Caenorhabditis elegans: one gene and its partners. The protein of the gene in region 1 purifies or fractionates together with the protein of each later gene. This does not show direct contact. Each region holds a gene or a part of one and is shown on either strand. Other genes may lie near its edges.

Evidence for each region.
Region 2: the proteins of cey-1 (region 1) and spig-20 purify together in Caenorhabditis elegans (affinity purification with mass spectrometry, with the first as the bait; one large-scale study listed by BioGRID). This does not show direct contact.
Region 3: the proteins of cey-1 (region 1) and iff-2 purify together in Caenorhabditis elegans (affinity purification with mass spectrometry, with the first as the bait; one large-scale study listed by BioGRID). This does not show direct contact.

Annotation. Positions count from the first base shown.
Region 1 is NC_003280.10:11,039,574-11,045,180, reverse strand, and holds the start of cey-1 (CSD domain-containing protein), read left to right. Parts: upstream 1-3,974; 5' UTR 3,975-4,053; coding exon 4,054-4,068; intron 4,069-4,434; coding exon 4,435-4,941; intron 4,942-5,053; coding exon 5,054-5,158; 3' UTR 5,159-5,607. Other genes in the region: col-83 (Nematode cuticle collagen N-terminal domain-containing protein), read left to right, coding at 140-364, 411-605, 654-1,046.
Region 2 is NC_003284.9:6,083,966-6,088,459, forward strand, and holds spig-20 (Neuropeptide-Like Protein), read left to right. Parts: upstream 1-2,158; 5' UTR 2,159-2,175; coding exon 2,176-2,286; intron 2,287-2,339; coding exon 2,340-2,534; 3' UTR 2,535-2,602; downstream 2,603-4,494. Other genes in the region: C45B2.2 (Neuropeptide-Like Protein), read left to right, coding at 788-898, 948-1,136; C45B2.8 (Transposase), read left to right, coding at 4,105-4,124, 4,197-4,398.
Region 3 is NC_003280.10:8,557,933-8,563,539, reverse strand, and holds iff-2 (Eukaryotic translation initiation factor 5A-2), read left to right. Parts: upstream 1-2,575; 5' UTR 2,576-2,584; coding exon 2,585-2,713; intron 2,714-2,767; exon of another isoform or gene 2,768-2,849; intron 2,850-3,299; coding exon 3,300-3,452; intron 3,453-3,528; coding exon 3,529-3,732; 3' UTR 3,733-3,959; downstream 3,960-5,607. Other genes in the region: F54C9.14 (PID domain-containing protein), read right to left, coding at 11-244, 702-944, 1,017-1,112. UniProt on the Caenorhabditis elegans protein: Translation factor that promotes translation elongation and termination, particularly upon ribosome stalling at specific amino acid sequence contexts.

The DNA of each region.
Region 1 (5,607 bases):
AATTTTGACATGCCAGTTTAAAGGTGCATGCGTAAATTCCGGCTGGGTCTCGCCACGATCTCAGCCACAGTGTCTCAGCTACAGGTGGCAAATTCTACAGATTTTATAATTTGATCTAACTTTACGGTTCCTTTTCCAGCTCGAAACGTCAAAAGGAGTTGCAATTTCCCAACGTCGAAAACGCCAATTCTTCATGAATTACTGTAACGATGTGACAAATTGTGGTGGACCATCGGATTGTGGTCAGGAGACTGGGTGTGCTATACATCCAGTGCATTCATGTGGTGGAGGTGGAGGATGCTCCCAGCCAGTTGTAGTTCAGCAGCCAGTGATTCAACAACCCATTGTTCACAGCCCACAGCAGGTGGGTAGTTCCTGCCTGACCTGAGTTTTTTCATATTTAGTTTCAGCAATTCTGTATTTTCGGTCCACCTGGGCCTCCTGGAATTCCGGGCCTTGATGGAAATGACGGGGACGATGGATCCGAAGGTTATCCTGGTGTTCCTGGAGCTAATGTTCCAGATACCGTACTTCCAGAAATTGATGATTTCTGCTTTGATTGCCCACCAGCGAGAAGTGGGCCGCCAGGGCCTCCAGGACCAAAAGTAGGCCTATTTGTTAAAACTTTTCAATCAGTCAGTCTTTACTTACAGGGCCCCCGCGGTACTCCAGGTCCAACTGGCCCAAAAAACTTCTATATTACATCAGGCCCACCAGGCCCCCCAGGTCCTCCAGGCCCACCCGGTAATCCGGGAGGCATTGGTCCTCGCGGCCCACCAGGTGATCCAGGCATAATGACTCAAGACTCAAGAGGTGTCGAAGGACCAAGTGGACCATCTGGACCACCTGGACCAATGGGGTTTCCTGGACCGAAAGGAATCGATGGATTTTCACAAGTGGGCTCAATGGGTCCACCTGGAAATCGAGGAGCTCCTGGTCGTGTTGGCTTGAATGGCCCGAGAGGCCCACCAGGAGATATTGGGCCTCCTGGGTCTGCTGGAGGATGTTCGGCTTGTCCCATTCCACGTGTCAGCCCTGGTTACTGATCAATTGGCCTCAATCTTTGATATTTCCCATGTAATTAACTAAATAAATGGTTGGGATAAATGGTTATCAACAAAAAACGCACAATGACGTAATCAAAAAGGCAAGGCCGAGATTGTCGAAGATTAGATTTTATCTGAAACTGCATTGAATCACCCAGTATAACCAATGATGCAATTTTGACACTAGCATAATTTTTGTTTTTAAAAATATTTTATCCCTGCTCCTAGGGTTCCTTTGATGAAATTGCCAACTTGATTGCGCAAAATTTCAAAATGAAATTTTTTTTAGATATCAATTTTGATTTAAACATTTAAATTCCGTTCAGTTCCCGGCAAACGCCCACTTTTTCTGTGCCTGAAAATTTGATGCCTACCGTAATCATCTTAAAGGCGCATACCTATCAAGCGATGGGTATCGAAACGATTAGCAAAATTTGATTTTTCTAATATTTTTTTTTCGAACTCAAACTTCTTTTTCTTCATTTTCGCCTTTTTTTAAAACGTTTTTCGAGTTTTTTTCTGCAAAATTATAAAATTAAATAATTTTTTAGTGTATTTTCATCAATTTTCTCCTCTTCCGCGGTGTCTTCCCGCTCAAAAACCATTTCGAACAAGGTTTCCGACTGGGTGGTCTACTTTTGTTTGTTTCCCATCAATAAATCCACGGGAATTCACCTATTTTGTCTCCCGCCGATCTAATTGTCGTCCTCCAAACAAAAAAGCGAAGAAAAAATGTTTTCTTCGCTCGCATTTCTTAATCCCCTTCTGCGTATAGTTTCTAATTTGTTTCCGCATTCTAGCTCTTTATTTCAACGTTTTCAGAGATTCTTCAGATAAATTATGCATTATTTAGTTTTGTGCAGCACATTTAAGCCGAGAGAGAAAAAGAGCAAGCACTCTATCGATCCGCCAGCAGCAGTGCGTGAGTGCGTGTGCGTGTGTGTGTGTGGGGGTATGTGAGTGTGCGAGAGAACCCTTTGCGCTCTTCTTCTTCTTCTTCTTCTCTTCGTGTGTATGAGGCCAACAACACAAGCCCCGGGCCGACCGAAACTAGAGAGATCGGAGACCGAGAATGTGCAAGGAACGGCGAAATAGCACCAGCAGGGGAAGGGCGGACGGGTCGAGCAGTGGTGGCCTCCCAGTCGAAACTACGCATACAACACGTACCCCTCGGTGTTCATTTACTCTCTCTCTCTCTTCGCTTTCGATTGTATTTGAACCATTCGAATCGGCCGTGTTGTGACAGTGCTCCGGCTCATCATCAATTCGCTTATCAAATGTTTATTGTTTGCTCGTTCACTATCTCTTTGTTTCTTCATCTCTTTCTCTCTCGACCATCTCATTATTATTCTGCGTTGCCTACCTTCCTCCAGTTTTGTTCAATATTACAGTGCTATTCGTTTCACCAACTACTAGTATTTTACCATCTCACTTTGCTCGAAAAATACGCAAACCCCCCACCCAAAAACATTCAAGCTAACACAGGGCAAACAACGGCGTTGTTGGTATGCTGCTGCAGAATGTTGCAAGGTCAAAAGGCATTGTAGCACGGAATCGGGTCAAAAATTTTCTTGTTTCGTTTCGCCGCCTTCTCCTCCTCCCAACAACCACCTGAACATTCCTAAATTCGCAATTTTCGGTCTTCGAGAAAACAATCGTTGTTTATTGGGGAGTGTTTCGGAGAAGAAGTTTCTAGGTTTAGATTCTCCCAAAAATTTGCTTTTCTGGTCTTTCAGAAATTAGAATATGGATGTAGATTTACATATACCTTCATTAAAATTCGCATATCTATGAAAACGGGTTTCCACGACAAACTGAGTCAAATATTCAGGATTGCTCTTTTTTATTAGAGAAAAATATTTAATTTTTCAAAAGATACCCTCGCAAGTCAGAAATTTTTATCTTAAATAGTAATTTGATTAAATCCCCTATTTTGAGTCTTAATAGTTCGAAAATCATGTGTCTCTGCCTCTAGAGTTCTCTAAAGTCACGCGAAGTTCTTCGAACCAAAAAAGGATTGAAACCTCATGTTCTTTTTCTTCTTCCTCCTCTTTCTCTCTTCTAACCGCGCACACCTCTTTCATTTATCGATTATTCTGTTTTTGTTCTCTATTTTGTCAGCTGCGAGGCTCGGGGCTCAGTGAAGAGAGCTGCTCCGGCGTGTACTTCTTCATCAACCAATAACTTTTCTGTTACACTGACCGCTGCTCATCCGTCTCCCGCACCTCTCAACATCTCTCTCGTATCTAACAATCGTTTAATGTTGGTGTCCGCATCGAAAGGTCAGCTTACACACTCGCACTCATTCGCCCCCACTACTTTTTCTCTTATTACTCTTGTTATTAGGATGAGAATGAGGAGAATAATTTGATGTTGAAGGCAAAAGCTACCGCATACGTAAAAACTGTCAATTTCAGTGTTAAGTTTTAAAATGAAAAATTTGCATTAAATATGCAGAAAAATGCTTTTTCGATCTGAAAATAATATTTATTACTTGAAAATTTCGAGAAAAAACTACAAGTAATATATGAAAGTCACTTCTAATGGCAAATTTTTCAGGTTGAACAAACGTTTTCCTACATTTCTAAACTAATTCCTGATTTAAAAATTAAATTATCACATTAAAAATAACATTTTTGTGAAAATATTGAAACAAGAAAGACTGACGAAGCTCTTAATAATTTTTGAAGGTATAATTTTGATAGAAAGTATGAAAACGAAAAATTAAATAATTATTTAAAACTTTCCACCCCCGTTTTATGATTTCTCGACCAAAAATGTCCCTGTGCTACACCGGATAAAACGTATAATTTTTGTTTTTTTTTCCGCTATTCCCTATGATTATCAATTTCTTTTCTTTTTTCTTCCAATTTGAGCTTCTTGACCCCACACAAATTTCAACTCTTCATAATTTTCATATTTTTTCAGCGAGGGTTTCAATCGTTGTGTCGCGCCACACGAAGTAACAGCCGGTAAGACCAGAGGAAGAACAGAAGCGCGCGGAACAATGGCCGAGAAAAACGTAAGTGTGTGTCTCTATGATCTTTGATCCGACGAGGCTACTTTTCCTGCGAAAGGAGAGCACGCGGAATGGAGGGTCATCGGTCAACGCGACCACCACCACCACCCAAAATACAAATAAAATATTTGAGACAATTTTCGGAAAACAACACTTTCATTATTGCGGTCAGCTGACGTTTTTTGAAGTGGCAATGTTCCTTGAGATTTGAAAATAACGAGACAAGAAAAATGAGCTCTAAAATTCGTTTCTTTCCGAGATCCTAATAAATCCAGAGCAATTGAGCTCTAAATATGAAATTTGAAAATTTCTAAATTTAAAGCAAATCTTGCAATTTTAATTAATTTCTTAATTATCGTTTTATTTCAGGACGTGGCAGAGCAACCAGCTGACAAGCCAGTGAAGGCTACAAAAGTGAAGGGAACAGTGAAATGGTTCAACGTTAAGAACGGATACGGATTCATCAACCGCACTGACACCAACGAAGACATCTTCGTCCATCAGACCGCCATCATCAACAACAACCCGAACAAGTACTTGAGAAGTCTTGGAGACAATGAAGAGGTCATGTTCGACATTGTCGAAGGATCCAAGGGTCTCGAAGCGGCCAGCGTAACAGGACCAGATGGAGGACCAGTTCAAGGATCCAAGTATGCTGCCGATCGTGATGCTGAAAATGCAGCACGTGGACGTGGTGGACGCGGACGTGGACGACGTGGAGGACGTGGTGGAATCCGACACGACTCTGGATCAAGAGACGCCGAGGAAGGTGGTGCTCCACGTGGAGGTGGTCGTGGTGGAAGCCGTCGTGGTGGCGGTGGACGTGGTGGTGGCCGTACCAACAGTGGTGGAGAGGAGACTGCTCGTGACACAGATGTAGGTTTTTTTGTTTTGTGGGTTTTAAAACTAGTATTTTTAGATCCAATTTTTTTTCATTCTAAAATTCTCAAAACTCTAAATTGATCGAAATTTAACATCCATATTTTAGGGCGGTGAACGCGGAGGACGTGGTGGTGGCCGTCGTGGAGGCCGTGGACGCGGTGGACGCGGTCGCGGAGGCCGTGGAGGACAAGGCGGACAGAGCGAGGCCTAAGTAATTTTCCAGTAACCAGTAACACTCGTAGTAATTAAGAGAGCAACTAGGTTTTTATTTCAACCCCCAACTCCCCCAATTCATCTCGCCACACACACACCCACAACTTTGAACTTTCGCTATATTACATTTTCCCTTATTCTTTCTTCTTTCTTTTGTTTTCCTAACTCGTGAATTATTATTGCAGTACAGTTACTTTAAGCTCCCCCTCTAAAACACGTCACAACCTGAATCATTCTCGTAATTAAACCATTCTCCTCCCAACAAAAAAATATATAATTCTACCTGTTTCGCTTTCGGATTTCCAAAACTTTTCTTGTAACACCATCAACACCGAAAATCTCTGTAATTCAACAAGCAAGCACCCACACACACACACCAGACCAACTGATGACTTCCCATCTTGTTTTTTTGTGTTGCTCTGTCTTTCTGAGAGTATATTGCTAACA
Region 2 (4,494 bases), on another chromosome or scaffold:
TTAAACTTTTACTCGAGTTGAACTCTCTCAGGGTTCGTCTCGTTTTACTTGTTTATTTCTCTTCTTTTAGTTAAATAAACTCAAATTCAATATGTAAATAAACTGTCGAAAATAAATGTTAGGGCTTAACTTGATAATCACGGGAAAGAGTATGTTAATGGTAAAGTGATCCTTTTAAACCGTAAAATAGTTTCGGGGTCAATTGTGGGAAAAAATATACATGGGAAATAACGAAAACGAACTTTTTAAGATTTCTCAGATTTCCCATGAAACCTTTAGAGTTTTCATCATTATTTTCAGCAATGTTTTTCAGTTTTTTCATTAAATTACTTTCACTGATTAATACTGAAATGTAGTAGGAAACTAAATCACTGCGTTGAAATTAAATATTCATTGGTGGATTCATCAATACCGTGCTTTAAGAGCAACAACTCAGCAGCCACGTAGTCTACAAATTTAACTGTTTAGTCATCTGAACCTCAGATGATTCACAGAAAACGTAATGGTTCTGAACCTGAACTATCTGAAATATTGTATTTCAAATGATGTTATTTCCGTTTTAATTCATCTAATCAGCCTGACACCTCACAATCGTGATACTTTGTAAAAACGTAACACCACATCTAGCAACCGATGCAATGATGATAAAGAGATTGACGAAATGCAACGTAGGAGACAACAGAGGTCAGTGATTCAACGTATAAACTGGACCGCACATATAGAGGCGTACCTGAGAAAAACAGTATAAATAAAGAAAATTTGGCAAGAAATTCATCATTCGACTACAATGAACTCTTTGGCAATTATTTTGGCTTTCGCCATGCTTTTGGCAACCGTCGCTGCTGGACCAGGAAACCGTTACGGATGGCCAAGCTCTTACGAGAGATTCCTTGAGAGAGTGAGTAAATTATTGTTTTAAAATAAAGTTTTAAATAAGTAATTTACAGCAAGGAGTTTGGGACTTCAACAGACACGAAGCCCGTGCTGATTACAGAGGACGCAAGAACTACGAGCGTGACCTCCGTGATCTTTTCGACGACTGGAAGAGACAAACCCAATGGGGAGGAAAGGGATACAGATCCAACAGATTCCAACAACCAACTGGAGGAAATAGCCGTTACGGATTCAAGGGATAAACACAAATTTTGGCGTTTTTTGTTAATAATTCTATCGTTTTTGTCTTAGTTTTACAAAATCTCAAATAAAATTCGTAATTTTTTGTAATTATGGTAACTGCAAAGTGAACATTTATAAGGATTGCAAAATGTTTTTGAATTTCAAAAATGGACTTATTAACAAAACTTAACGTTTCAAACAATGAGTAAATTCACAGCAGTCTTTCACTGAAGTAAAGATCAGATAAAAAACTTTTGTTTTCATGCGAGATATATCAATACAGATGTTATCAAAAAGATAGAAGGTTCACAGAGGGTTTTTACTACGTGGCCTAAAAAAACCAGAACTCGGCCACGATTTATCTTCAATTGTTCACCTCAGATTTTACTAAAACTTGCCGAAAACAATCTTATGAGAGATCGTTCTGGGGAGGCGATTTTCGAAAAAGACCATGTTTTCATTTTTCGAGTACTTCTATTCAAAGCGACAATAATCAAAACCTGAAACAATTATTTCCAGGCTTCTACACAATTTTCTCACGTTCAGCTATTATCTGAGTTTGATTGTTGAACTTTATTCTTAATTTAATAATGAGGAACATACTTCCTTTGCCTTGGAATAATATTATGAAGTAGTTAATATAATAGAATATTATAGTTTATCACCGTTTGCAGTGGCACAAAATACAACCACAAAAACGTTTTTAAAAAATCTTCCAAAAAATCATCTAGTTGGTGAGCACAAATTATTCAATCACAAATATAAATTTTGGATTTTGAAATAGTATTACTAAATTGTTCATTTGAACCTGATCTATTCGCTATCAGTTCACTTCCCGAAACGCAATCTTTGTTTGGTGGCGTTCTGATTTGTCAGAAAACTGTTACAATCGAGATTGTGTTTCCCGGGTAACCGAGAATTCGATGAAAAAAATAGATGAACGAAGCGGCCGATAGTTCAAAAACACAATGTGAAAATTAGACATTAAATTTAAGAGGCGTAGCTTTAAAAGGAGTATAAATAGTGAAGGAATCAATGGTCAGGACATCATCAGTCAAGATGAACTTTACTGCCGTTTTCCTGGCGTTTGCCATGCTTTTAGCAACTGTCACTGCCGGACCTGGAAACCGTTATGGATGGCCAAGTTCTTATGAGAGATTCCTTGAAAAGGTTTGTCATACTTATTTTTGTTGAAAAATCTCTAAAAGCAAAATTATTTTCAGCAAGGTGTGTGGGATTATAACCGACACGAGGTTCGTTCTGATTATGGACGTCGTGGAAACTACGAGCGTAATCTCAACGATTTGTACGATGACTGGAAGAAACAAACTCGTTGGGGACAAAATGACTACAGATCAAACCGATTCCAGCAACCATCTGCAGGGTACGGACGATACGGATTCCCAGGAGGAAAGTAATTGTTAAAAAGTATTTCTTTTATAATTTGACTAGTTTGTTTTTCCTTCAATAAATGTCACATTGCATTTTTACCAGAAACATCGAAATTTTCAATTTTTCAATACATGTTTTCACAAGTTCACAAGGTCTGAAAAAATAATCATGACAGAAAAAGTTTGTCACTTTTGTCAAATTCTGGAAATCAGTTTTGTTATTAGATCCACAAGAGCACATCATGAATATTTGCGGTAAATTTCGAGAAATGGAACTCTCTCAAAAATATGGAAACTTCCTAGATGTTGAACAGACTTGAAGCCTGACGGTGTAAATGAAGACATTTCAATGCTGACTGGACTCCGATTCTGTGTACTCTAAAGCAAAAATTGGCATTTTTGATTGGATGGTTCTTCATTTTTGCAGAACTGAGCTAAAAACTTAACTTGTATGTTTTTGGAAGCTTCACAAAAGTGCCACTATCCTTGATTTTTTTTGCATTTTTTATTGAAAGCCATGCTTTTGGAGATTGTTTCTCCATGATCTCGACGGAATGTTTAAAATGGAAGCCAAAACAAATTACTTCAACGAATTTGAAGCGGCCTGGTAATACTTCAAAAGTTTTGGAGCAGGAAAAGTGCATCTTGTGCTGTTCAGAAATCGAAACTTTGAATTTGAGAAAATGACACTAGTTTGACTTTCAAACTACCGTCTCATAAGCTCTAATCACGAAGTTTCAAAGCTTGACAACAAAAAAATTTTACTGATGAAATTTAGGAGATCAGTTCAGTTCAGTGTCAAATATGAATGCACACATGACAGGAAAAGAAACATCATATAAATCGGAGGACATTGAAATGTTCTGTGACTATTCCAGCAGAAGTGACAGCAGCGAATGCGATCTGAGCATCAGTAAACTAAACAGTAACTCGAGCAAAATAAACGTAATGCAAATCCTTTTTTGGTGCACCAACAGTTCGGGGAGTCACCCGATCCTTTTATCCACAGGTGATCGACAATTTCGAACAAAAGGGCAATCTTGTTGTAATTTTGGTTGGTACTGAAATTTAACAAAGAAATTTCCAAAATCGGCAACAATGTTGATGAGTGGAACGGTAGTTGGCACGTGAAGGATGTTTCTGTGCACTAATATAGCTCTGCTCAAATACACTACATACAATACGACTAGGTCACTGAAATAGTCAATCACGGTAGAAGACTACAGTGATTTTTTTCTACAAAATAAAGTATCGATGATCGTTTGACCTTTGAAGCAATTTGAGTCTCATCTTTTTGAAATGACATCATTTTTAGCTTCCGCTTATTCGGTGATTTCATGGTTTCTTACATTGTTCTCCCTATTGGATGAAGAACGTTTCTTATCAAATACAAGGAAATTGGCGGAACTATGTGTCACAACAAAAAAAAACAGTTTCAAAAATTTTGTGTAAAAATTAAACAACATAAAAGAAGCGGTTTTTGTGATCAGATCATCATCAGTTAAGATGAACTCATCTGCTAGTTTCCTTGCCTTTGCAATGCTGTTAGCTACTGCTTTCGCTGAACCTGGAAACCGTTACGGATAGCCAAGTTCTTATGAGAGATTCCTTGAAAAGGTTTGTTAACTGCATTTTCTTGATCAGAAGCATTTGTTAGCCAGAATTTTAAACTCAAAATAAATATTGCAGAAAGGCGTGTGGGATTACAACCGCAACGAGGTACGTTCCGATTATGGACGCCGTGGGAATTACGAGCGCAATCTCAATGACCTGTGTGCTGACTGGAGACGTCAAACTCATTGGGGACAAACGACTACAGATCCAACAGATTCCAACAACCAACTGGTGGATACGGACGTTACGGTTTCCCAGGAGGGAAATAAATTTTTGATTGTGATTATAATTTTTCAGTCAGTAATAAATCGATCATCAATTTTATGTTTGGAGTTGTGTATATTTGTAACAAACTGTTCAAATAGTTATTTAA
Region 3 (5,607 bases), 2.5 Mb from region 1:
AGTGACCCACCTGTTTCAAGTTAATCGGAGTCGATGGCGTTGTCGTCGAGAGTTGACTATGTGAAGACATTGAAGTCAAAGACATTGTACCTTCCAATACTGATATACTTGATGTAGTTCTTCTGGTTCTGACCAAGAATTCATCAGATCTTTTATTTGATACCTCTTTCTTTGTCTTCTTTGATTTTTCAATAACACACGAGAAACGTTGTTTCGGGGGAAATGGATTGTGGTAGAGAATGTGCTGGAAATTAGAATTTAGAGATACGTGCATGAATTGGAAGCTAATCTGTAGACTATTATTCATTCTCAATATTATTTTTTACAAAAGATATTCACATCAAAGTAGCACGTTGCTTAAGTATTCAGAAGAATTGACTTCCAGGAGGCACGGGTATTTTATTTTAGAAAGGAGCGACTTTATTATGAGCCACCAATAGAAAAGCATGGCACATCTTTAAGATATAAAGTTCTCGCAATTTCTGGTCTATCAGCTGGGGAACTATATGAGTATGTACACATGTAAGATATCTCGCACCGAACCTATTTACTGTACTCACATAAAATTCCAAACTGACTACACCGTGCAGGTATAATCTAGATGACCTTTTTTGCCAATTTTAATTATTAGACATACGATAATTATTACAAAATTGTTTTCTTTGATCTTTGTTCTTTGAATCTTGAAAAGATCGAAGTACCTCCATATAAAATCGTTTTGCTTTTTCACAAGCATTACGAAGCGATTTCCGATTATCAGCCGAATTGAACGCAGCTTCAAAATATTTTGAATCGACTAATTCTGTAGCAGTTCGACGAGAAACTTCACTGATTGCAAATGAAACAAAATTCCTTCCATTTTCCGATTGGCAACATGTTACAGTCATTCTTTGAGGATCACAAGATGCATCAGCAAGATAATTGTTCACACAATTATACGACATCTGAACAAGAATCCATTTGATTTTTGAATTTTCAGTTTGCAAAATAAACGTTTCAAAATCCGTCTAACTCACAGTGAAAGAAGTAGGATCTTCAATTTTTCGAGTTGCCACAGCTCCATTTTTTGTAAAAATCACTTTTTGTGAATTAGTCTTCATACAAGTTGGCATTTTTAGAAATCGTAAGTACAGAAATAAATTTTTAAAAAACGAACCAGAAGCGGTTGAGCAAAACGTGAAAATTTAAATAGGATAATTTAATATTTTTCAAATTTTTGGTAAATTGCCAAATTTTCCAAAAAAAAAAACGCAATTGAAGTATAAAGCTCGTAGAAAATATGTTTTTGTCAATTTCCTAAAATATGTCCTAAAATATCCTAAAACTAAATAAATCTAAATTTTTCAGCAGCTTCAGTAGAGACTGCAACATCTAATGAGATCTTCGTTGGTGACTACAATGCTCATAATCAGTTCAATCCAAGTTTTTTTAAAACTTAAGCAGGAGCTGAGGCAACAAAAACAGTTGTGTAAAAGTCATGAATATTTAGGTTGTCGGGGGGTTCAATCCATAACTAACTTACCATGTTTTGATATACTTCCTTTCCCCTCAAACTACACGAATGTATTTTATGATAGTTTTTGTAGTGTAATAACTTCTAATAACTTGTCTAATAACTTGTATCTTACTTGTTTCTGCTTTTATTATTAATACATTATAATAAATTCAAAAACAAATTTGTTCAACTTTTAAGTAGGGAAAAATTGAATAATTACCAAATTGAATAGACACACTAGTTGTCAATAGATTAGTAGGTCTGGAACAAATTGGTAAACTGTACATATAGTAAACCATATATAATAAATATATTTACTAACCAGCTCATGAATGTAATTTTAATTCAATGTTTAAAATTAATAAAACTTATCTAAATTGTTTTCATGCCCGTTTTTTAGTATACTCACTTACTACAACTCTTATCTTATCTACTACAATAACCTACAACTTAACTCTTATTTGTCTCCATTTTCCCGCTCCTCTGTCTCGATATGTTCCGTTTTCTCCAAAACTGCAAAATTGTATGTTTGTCAGTGTCTCCACCATTACACCACCGTCTCAACCCTGCAAGACCGGTGCATACACGCTCCGTCGACGGCCACGCGGTTGGTTATTGCCTGCGTAGCGACCCACACACAGTGATGGGATACCGAGTTCAACCGTATTTACGTAAGACCTTCGCAACTGTTTAGGCAACTTTTGAAAGTCTTTTTTTGAAAAGTTTCAGACTGTTTTCTTGTGATTTTCAAGACAAAACTGTGTAAGTATTAGGGAATGCTTGGTTTTTGTCTTAGATATAGTATCTACCTACAATATGCTAAGTTGATATGATAAATTATTGATTGATGATGTTTTTTCTATTTGTCATCATTTTTAGGTTATTATGGTTTAAATCAATTTAGATACATTCAATTTGCTGACTTTTTTGAAATGGCTGTAAAAACTAGTAGATTTATCAAATTGGATCTAGGTCCCCATTTCTTAAGGACTATGTATTTGACGCTTTACTATATTTTTTCTGGTTTTTATTTATTCTTAAATATTGTTATCATTTAAAAAATTAACTTGTGCGTTGTAGGGTACCAATATGTCTGACGATCATCACGACGACGAGCACTTCCACACCGGAGACTCTGGAGCTGCTGCCACATTCCCAAAGCAGTGCTCTGCTCTCCGTAAGAACGAGCATGTCATGATCAAGGGACGCCCATGCAAGGTTCGCTTTGTTTTAAAATGTTGAAAAATTAAATAAACTTAGAAGATGTTTTGTGAAAAAGTGCGATGAATGACTTGGATAAGTTTCGGCTGAAACTTGGTGATGCCAACTTTTTAAAACTGCTGAGCACTTTTTCTCAAACAAAAACCCAATAAATATGAAAGAACTATATATATAGTTATATAAACTATTCACTCATAGTTTTTTACAAAAACTGAAAGCTTACCAAATTGATAATTAATTCCAAAACAAAAAACTCCTGAAATTATTTAGCTCACAAAATACCCAGATAAGATGATATGATTTAATCCTAAAAACTGTTAGTCTAAACATTAGATAGGCCAGATATTTATATTCTCAGAGGCGAGTGAAGAGGCGGATCAGAGACACCCCGCCATGCTTTTACCGGAAGGAAATTCTAAGACAGTTAATTTGAATTTTAGTTCTAATTTAAATATTAACATTTTAAAATTGCAAAAAATATTTGAGGAATAAAAAAAAAGTATACATACAATCGTAGCACCATGCTTCTAGAATGTGGACAAATCAACTTTGCGTAACCATAAAAGTTATCTGAAAGTTGTAGATCGTCGAAATGTCGACCTCCAAGACCGGAAAGCACGGTCACGCTAAGGTCCACATGGTCGCCATCGACATCTTCACCAGCAAGAAGCTTGAAGATATCTGTCCATCCACCCACAACATGGATGTTCCAGTCGTCAAGCGTCGTGAGTACTTGGTAGGTTTTCCAAAATTTCATATTGCTAAACTATCACTAAATTTTTATTCAATTTTCAATATGCTTGTTCTTTCAGTTGATGGCCATCGATGACGGATATTGCTCCCTCATGGACCCAGAGTCCTGCGAGCAAAAGGATGACCTCAAGCTTCCCGATACTGAGCTCGGACAACAGATCCGTGATGCTTATGAGAAGGACGAGGGATCCGTTTTGGTCCAAGTTGTCTCTGCTATCGGAGAAGAGGCTATCCTCGGATGGAAGGTCAGCACCAAGGAATAAATCGTCAAAGGAACCCCCTGCCAACTGCTCATGAATCCTGATTCCCCCGTTCCACCCCGCAAAACTTTCACTGTATGAATGGTGCTGCTTGACATTCCATTCCAGAATTCAAGTATAACCCATCATCAAGTGCTCGTGTTATTTTTCTTGTTTTCATTAACTTTTTTTTTTGCTTTTTTTCAAAACATAACTGAGAATTTAATTTCAAATAAATTATCAGAAAATTTTGGTTTCCATTTTATTTAAAAACTATCAATCCACCTCCATGAATTCACTCGTTTTTTCTTTTGCCTTCTTGTTCCATCATCATCCGTAGGTAATTTGTTTCTGTTCCATCATCTCACACACTCTCTCTTATACACGCACAACAATTGACTAAATTTGATTTATAAATGAAGTTGCACGGAGAGTTGCTTTTCGATTCACTTTCATTTGATTCTGAATCTAGGAATAGTTGAAGAGAAAAGAAGCGATTTCATTTCCGGTACTGGGAGATATCTGACCAGAATCTTAGTCAGATGCTTCTTTTGTTTTTCGATTGACTAGGAAATATGTTACTAAAGAATAATTCCTAGAGTTTTTAAGTTTTTCAGTTCTAAACGCTTTCCTATAAACGCAATCCTGGAAATGTTTAATGACTCGTAAAGCAACCGTTTTTGACAAGAGACACCTGTGATTTATACGTTTTTCAAGCTTCATCAAAATAGTGCCTAGAATTTCCATTCGTTCTTTCAACTTTCAGTCTGAAAAGAAACATATCGATGTATCTTGTTAGGTTATTTTGGCTCACTTTTATAAAAATATCTTCACTTACTGGAACGGTCATATTGTTTTTTTGCGTACTTATACCTTTCTCTGCTTGACTTCAAAACTTAATTTTAACAAAAACAAGAGGCGTGGAAAACTTTAAAAGCTTCTTGGTAACAACTCGACCTTTCTAATGGGATTTTAAAGTCTAGACACGTGTTTACCAATTATCAGCATACTTGTTGTATTGTCTATTTTAGTTTATAAATTAGTTCAAGAATAAGGTTCAATGTTTTTGAAATTGACGCTGTTTTCATTTTTGATTTGACAGCTTTCAAGGGCACGTTACCAGCTTTTCCAAACCGAGCTGTAGAAATCTGCCAATGGTGCACTAAAAAACTTTCTACAAGTATCGTGCTGAATTTCTTAACTTCTGTAACTGAAACCTCGTTTGTATGAACAAAAACTTAGTTAAGACCGTGTAATAGTTCAAATTGAGTTTGCATTGTTGATTCGCATCAGAAATTTAAAACAAGCATATCAGGCATTGAATATAATTTGCAAATTTCAGAATCGCCGCTCAAAATATCTGAAAAAAGAATATGACGGATCAAAGAATAAATAAAGAGAAAATGGGCGTGGCTGAGCCGTCTCATATTCACTCATTTCCCGACGGACCGCCCGTTCCTTTTTCTCTTCAACAAAATTGTCCTCGTTCGTTTCGTCTTCCACCCGTCAAAAATAGAATAACAACCACTATCGCCGTGTCGTCACTTTTCAATTTTTTAGTCGTTAGTAGTTTTAAAAAATGACATGTAAAAGCTTTCTTTGACATGGTTTTAGATATATGTTTCTCTTTTTATGTTTTCAATTTTGAATTTTCGCTTGAATGATTTTCTTCTTTTTGTTTCAAATTGAACACGAATCTGCTTTTTTTGAGGTGGACACCAGACGCGAGAAATCGAATACTACTTGAAAAAATATAAATTTCTTTTGGTTTCTTATTCATCACCTAGTTTTTAAATGAGTTGTTTTTTTGTATTTGAAAACAATAACACATAAATTATTAGCTTTGTTAAAGAAACGTTCAATCCGGTTAATTTTCCCGTGTTTTCTAGAGATTTAGAT